Rattus norvegicus: one gene and its partner. The protein of the gene in region 2 purifies or fractionates together with the protein of the main gene of each other region. This does not show direct contact. Links are inferred from orthologs where the notes say so. Each region holds a gene or a part of one and is shown on either strand. Other genes may lie near its edges.

Region 1 (3,914 bases), on a different chromosome or scaffold from region 2:
CAGAGCAGCCAGAGTTCCAGAACAGCCAGGACTATAGAGAGAAACCTTGTCTCAAAAATAAAACAAATCAAAGAGTTCAAGGTCATGGGCTGGGGATGTAGCTCAGATGGCAGAGTGTTGCCTAGCAAGCTTGAGGCCTGGGCTTCATCCCCAGATCCCCAATACTGCAAAAAATGAGTGTGTGGAGGTAGAGGCAGAAGGATGAGGAATTCAAGGTTATTCTTGGCTACATCAGAGTTGGAGGGCAGTCTGGGGTACAAGAGACAACAAAAACAAAAAACATGATACACATCAACAACCAAAAAGGGAGATGCTGTCCTTGGTCACCATTCTACAGTGCTGAGCCCTGACTTCCATGAAATCCATCTTTTGTTCATTCTCACACAATACACACTTTACCTGCTAACGATGCTGATGACTAGATTACTAATGGCTAGAAGGAAGAGGCATGTACAAATAAAAGATGGGTCACAATTATGATATTTCTGCAACTAATGACTTCTTAGGTAAGCTATAATCTCAGCCTCAGCAGGATCAGCCTGTTTCTTAAGGTCACAGCCGATGACTGTGGTCTCCTGCTGCTCACAGACCTCCTATACCTCTCCTTAACTTAGTCACTTTCTGGGAGTTCTGTCTACATGTGGTAAGCATCTTGGACATCTGAAACACCACAGCAGCCCATCATGTCTCCTTGCTCTTATCTAAGATATCATCATAGGAAAGAGGGGCCTGCACTCCTGCACCTGTCCCTGAACATCAACATTCCCACAAATTACTAACATTAAAACAGCCCAATTTCCAATAATCCCTGGGCTCCCACAGAGGACACCTAACAGGTAAGGTACACAGAAATACCACACAAAAAGCAGCTATGATAATTCAATAAGTCTAAAACCCATAGTACCAAATCCAGCCTCAAACCTGCAACCAACACTTATAAAGTAACTCCATAAAGGTAATATACAAGTCTGACACACACACACACACACACACACACACACACACAGAGTATAAGCTTATGATTTAGGTTGAATGTGAAAATAATATGACTAGCATTTTACTAATGAGCCATTGATTAAATTCTTGAAAGGTCAGGGTTCTCATTTCATATCTAATCCAGTCACCCATCAAATAAAGTCCTTTTTTTTGGGGGGGGGGGGAGCTGAGGACCGAGCCCAGAGCCTTGCGCTTGCTAGGCAAGAGCTCTACCACTAAGCTAAATACCCAACCCCTTCAAATAAAGTCTTAACGGACAATAAAACCCACTTTGTTTCTCCAAAAGATGTAGCACAAGTCAATACTGCTGAAAAATCAAACAGAATCCCTGTGCTTCATATACTTTCTTGATCCTGAAGTGAAGCTCTAAAACTGAAATCAGCCAGTACTGCCTCTCTCAGGTAAAGTCAGACTCCCATGTTCTCCAAACTGGCTGTGAGTAAATGGACTTGTCAGAGTAAAAGGGAAAAATGCACACGTTTATCTTGAAGATGAGCTGAGAAAAATCCTTAGGTTTTTTTTTTTTCTTTCTACTTTCTTTATGCCCAACTAAAAATGTGCACTTTGGGTTTCGGTTGGGAGGGGGGTATTTTGTTTTGGGGGAGCATAAGTAAGGCAATGGACACCAGAACAAGTGGGTATTTGGCCAGTCAAACCACACCATAGAGTGCCCTCCTTGGATTGTTCTTACTTGACCCTACTTTACTTTTTCATAGGGATTAGGATGATGTGAAGGAAGGACACACACACCCAGTTCGGAGGACACAAACATAGTCTACCACCAGCAGCTCCTCAACACCAACTCACCCACATCCTAAACGAGTCCCCGGCCCATGAACAAGTATACCACGCTCAGCAGACACACACCTAACTGTAGACCATTCTTAGAATCCTTGGTTTTCCGTACTCCCTTGTCCTGTTCACACAGGCCTTTGCTCTCCTCATGCCCTACTATCATCCCGTCCCTAGCACATCGCCCCCTCAAAGCCCTTCTCCCCAATATGTCTAGCATACCAGGCAGTCCCCACGCCTCTACACATACTGCGGAACCTGCCACCTCTCCTGCTTAGCGTCCGCTTGGAGCTCTGTTCTCCCTACACCGGGCACAACCTCGCACAGCGCGGGCCACGCTCCGACACGCCTCCCGCCCGCAACCCGCGCGCCCCTCTCTTCCGGGTCCGCGTACGCCGGCCTAGCGCGGCCTACTCCCGCAGCCCCGGGCAGCAGGCCTCCGCGCCACAGGAGCGCGCCCGCCGGCTCCCACTACTCACCAGCGCGCGGCGGCTGTGGAGGCGCGGCCCGGGGCCTGGCTCCCGGCCCGGCGAGGCCCATGCGCTCAGCGGCGGCTCAGCGGGCGGGCCACGGCGGGGGCGCGGCCCTGAGGGGCCCCCATCGCGGCGGCGGCGACGGCTCGGCGACCCGTGGCCTGGAGGCGGCGCGAGGCAGGCCGCAGAGCGCCGCCAAGACCCGCTGTTCACTCTCACCAGCCCACTCTGGAAGGAGGCTCCAGCCCGACCCCGGCAGGCTCCTGCGGCGGCGGCGGCACCGGCCGCAACGGCCGCAAGCGCTTCCCTGAGCCGGGAGCCCAGAGCCCTGAAGCCCAGGCCCGAGCGCCCCCGCCGGCGCCGCCCGGAAGTGCGGGGGCGGGGCCGTGGTGTGGGGCGGGACTGCTGCGGAGGCTGGGTCTCTGTGTGAAAGCAGAACCACGGTGTGGGGCGGAGCTTCTAACATGGGCGGGGTGGGAGGCTGAAGACCAGAAGAGTAAGGGGCAGGGTCTTGAGAGGCGGGGCTGCGGCGTACTCAAGATTGGAAGGAAACCAGAGCCAAGCAGTGTCTTGCGGTGGTGGAGGCGGGGCGTGAACTAGGAGCGCCGCTGGAACGTAGTCGCGGAGGATGCCCAATGGGGCCGCAACTACTGCTCGTCCCGAAAGGTGGCATGGGAAACAGCCCTGAGCGCGCTCAACAACCTCGGCCATCACCGAACCCTAGGCCAGTACACTGAAGGCAGACCACCTATGTCTGGTCGCAAACGCTACCCTGAAACGGCCTCTGGGTAACCGGACCTCTCCACACAAACACACACATAACAGATATACGGTCCCCCAAAGCAGCTCTTGCTGAGTCTGAAGGCGCAACGAGCCAACTCCATGATGCCCCACCACAGGCTTACGTACACAAGGCCACAGTATCAGGAACATGGATACCCAGCTCTCTACTTGACAGGCCGCAACCCTCGGTCAGCCACGCCCCAAGAAGATGGATGTGTACACAAGGAATTACTGCACTTAAGAATGTCATCTACCAGTCAAATCGGGACTCTGGAGCACAGTCGGACACCTCTCAGGTAGTCCATTTTACAGACAAGAGGTTGCAACCCATGCTCAGTACACACCCAATGCTTCACCTTGACCAGAGTAGTCCTGGTACCCAAATTCTTTTTTTTTTTTTTCTTTTTTCTTTTTTTCGGAGCTGGGGACCAAACCCAGGGCCTTGCGCTTGCTAGGCAAGTGCTCTACCGCTGAGCTAAATCCCCAACCCCCCCCCCCCAAATTCTTTCAGAACCTCTCCAGTTATCTATCCTGGCTGCATCCGCACTTGCCCATCTACATGCTTTTAGTGCCTACATCTACATGCTGCTAGTGCCACTATTATGTTTTATTCTGGGCTTTGTTCTCCCTCGTTGTTTGGTCCCTTATCCATCATGGCTTCCAGGCAAAAGCAGTAGTATTGGCTTAGGACTCTAAACCCACAGGCCATCTTCCACCCAGCTGCTTGAAGTGATCCTAACCCTGCCACCTGTCTCTTGAGAGGACTTAGCACAGTGCTGAGGCCCAGAATTACTATGTATAGAGAAGGAACCACTTGAACTATAGCTACTAGGGTGACCTAGCCTGCCAAATTCCTCTCATTGACCCATC
Region 2 (3,200 bases):
CCTCACTCTGCACTTTCAGCCCCCTTGGAATAGATGAAGGATTCAATCTCAGGACTCCATTGGCAGGTCAGAGCCTCTAGATTTTCTCTTTCAGTTCGTAGGTATTGTCACACCCAAAACTGAGTGTGGTCATTCTGACTTCTCTCCAATGCCACGATTGCAGCAGTCACGCTTGAAGCTGAGGTGATAGGACATTGCCTATTCCCTTCAACTGTCAGGACACTTCAAGAGTCACCCACTCTCTTCAGTCCATGCCACAACTTTACTTCACCCACTGTGAGACAAGAGACCCCTCCCCAGGATAGAGATCAAGACTCTATACTTCACCATGACCCAGGTAAACATGTCGACAGACCTCTGATTCTGCTGACTGAATGCCTCCAGGGACCAAAGGCATTGTCTATGACATGGCCTGAGCAACTACAGCCTGACAGAGTCGAATTCATAGCTCCATCCATTGGGGTCTACACAGATGGGATGGTCAGAGGGCCACCTTGGCCTCTGGTCCTCGTGATTGGCACCAGGGATGAGCCCGAATGCCAACACAGCTTGAAGCCCAGGAACACATCATGCAGGTCCAGTGCAAAGTGGGAAACGCCCTGAGCCTTTGAGCAGCATGTGAATGATTCTCTGTACAGGTCAGGTCCCAACCTGTCTCCGCCTGAGGGGGCTTGATAGAGGGACAGCCATGCACAAGAGGATGCATGTATGGCGGCAATCCAGTGGGGTGAAATCTGTCTTTGGGAACAGGCTCAATACTCAAATACTCACGAGGCACAAAAGAATGGCAGGTATGTTTTAAAAAATTAAGTTTATAAATATTTTCTCCACTGTACAAAGTTTTCCCAGCCCTGCCCACCCCTTCACCGCTCACATTTCTCACTTCTTAAAAATCCCAATTATATTTATTTTTTAAATCATAAAATATATTTTTCCTTTGTTCATATTTAAAAATATTTACAGGGAGGCAGCGAGGCCGGGGTGGACGGCCGAGGTCAGGACGAGTCCGTGCAGGGGGATGGAGGGGGTGGGAAGAGGTGGCAGTAGCTTCTCTCAGTGACAGGAGAGGGTGGACAGCTATCCTCTGCAGACAGGTACTGGCTGTGGGGAGTGGGCGGGGGCGGGTAGGGGTCTGAGTCCGAATTCAAGTCCAGGTAGTACTTGCTGGTCTTCCAGCGACTGGTGCTGTAGTCGCTGTCACACACGTCTGTGCTGCAAGGTGTTGTTGGGGGTGCCATACCTCGAATGATGTAGGGCCTAGAGGGAACAAAGAACAAGTTCACTTGAGTGCCTAGCCACATGTGTATCAGGCCTTTGAATTGCTGGTCCTTAGAGTTTCTACAAGCAGAAGGCCTGCTGGGTGGCCTAACCCAGAGTTCAGTCTCTTTCTCCCTCTCTGCCTCCACAGTCAGGGCTTGGTAAGAAATAGATCCCTGGTTCCCTTCCAGACAACAGGTCAGCAGAACCTGTTGGCTGACTGGCAAGAGCTCACTTAACCTCCAAATTTTCGTTTCTCAAAAGGAAACACCCCTGCTTTGGGGGTTGTATGTGCAACCTCATAGGCATGTGTGAGAGTGCGTGTTCAAGTGTATGGAGGTCAGAGGTTGACCTCAGATGTCTTCCGAGTGATAGGTCACTCTCCACATTATTCTTTGAAGCAGGGGCTCTCATTCAACCTGGGCTCATTAATTTAGCTATCCTAGCTGGCCAGTGAGCCCCCAGGATCCTCCTGTCTCTGTTTCCCAGGTGCTGGGATTCTCAGAGGCTCTCCACGTGTGTGGCCTTTTACTCCATTCCTAATACTGTGTGTCAAGTAATCTCCCCAGCCCCAGCCCAGCCTTATTTCTTAAGAGGATTGGAAAAAAGAAGTAAGAGTCTATGTAGAACATGCCAGAAGCATAAGTGCCTACAGGAGAAAGTGTTTAATAGCTATTGAGTACAATGTTCTTTCCTGTGACCGTTGAGAATGTGTGATTCTAGAAGTCTTTTTTTTTTTTTTTTTGGTTCTTTTTTTCGGAGCTGGGGACCGAACCCAGGGCCTTGCGCTTCCTAGGCAAGCGCTCTACCACTGAGCTAAATCCCCAACCCCTAGAAGTCTTAAGTTAAAGCACCCTGACCTTGGTGATGTCTCCCAGCCTCCCAGTGGCTGAGAGGCCCAGAAATTCTGCATCAGGGCCTGGGTCCTGAACTTACCAAGGCAGGGATCATGGTTTATTTCAGAGTCTGGACCCACCATACTGGGGTCACACTGTGAGCAGGAATGGGAGGCTGAAACAGTGGCAACACGCATCTCATGGAACTCGGCCTCGGCCAGGCCGTGAAAGGGACAATGCCTTGGAGTAACGCCAGAGCAAAGGCAGGCAGGATGGAAGATTCAGGGAACGGGCTTTGCAGGCCTGGATATCTCCAGTCTGGGGACAGTGGCAGACAGAGCTGCGGAGTCAGTGACAACTCTGGGTTGGCAGCACAGGATGCATGTTATACTTTGACACTAGCAGTCACTGCTGGTGCTTGAGCAGCAGTGCAGAAGGGGCTGCAAGCCTGGGACAAGTCCAGTGCAAAAGTTCCCAGAAATGGCCACTAGAGGGCAGACAGGGACACCCTGCAAGATCCAATAGACCAGGGACCCAGGTAGTGTGGTCCCCCCAGAGCCCTGTAGGTGGGGCCCTAACCCTCTTTCCAGGCCTTGGCAGGTAGCCCTCTGGGGCTGAGGCCAGAGTACCTAGAGGGTAGCCTCTTAGTTATACCCACCCTGGCACCCTAGGCTCCCTAGTTACTACAACCACAGCAGTGTACCACCATCCTGCTTCTCCGGTTCATTCTGGGGCCACTCTGTCACAGGATGTGAGTTCTCTGAGCAACATGAGCCATTTTCATCAAATCAGCTGAGTCTGCAAACCGGAGCCCATCACCTGCTGTCCTGTTAACTGATGTTCCTTGATAGAAAAAGTGGCCGGAGAGGACACTGATAGTTCAGTGGCTCCCCCACTGCACCTCCCAGCCATTTGTATGCAACTCTGCTCTAATTTGTTTGGCCTGGGGTCTCAGGAAGATTTCCTGAAGGAAAGCTCCATCTATACCACTGGCATCTACGGTGGGTAAAGACTTTCGAGGCGGGGCAGGTGCCACTGTAGCCCTCTAAGACAGACCAACCAAGAGACTCACTAGTTCTCTGGTGTGAATGTTGATGGAATCTCACT

Evidence for each region.
Region 1: the proteins of Lrp5 (region 2) and Axin1 purify together in Homo sapiens (affinity purification with western blotting; 3 studies listed by BioGRID). This does not show direct contact. The link is inferred for Rattus norvegicus from reciprocal best matches to the Homo sapiens genes LRP5 and AXIN1.

The regions. Positions count from the first base shown.
Region 1 is NC_086028.1:15,666,610-15,670,523, reverse strand, and holds the start of Axin1 (axin-1), read right to left. Parts: upstream 2,567-3,914; 5' UTR 2,268-2,566; intron 2,148-2,267; exon of another isoform or gene 2,011-2,147; intron 1-2,010. UniProt on the Homo sapiens protein: Component of the beta-catenin destruction complex required for regulating CTNNB1 levels through phosphorylation and ubiquitination, and modulating Wnt-signaling.
Region 2 is NC_086019.1:210,242,707-210,245,906, forward strand, and holds the end of Lrp5 (low-density lipoprotein receptor-related protein 5), read right to left. Parts: intron 1,258-3,200; coding exon 996-1,257; 3' UTR 795-995; downstream 1-794. UniProt on the Homo sapiens protein: Acts as a coreceptor with members of the frizzled family of seven-transmembrane spanning receptors to transduce signal by Wnt proteins.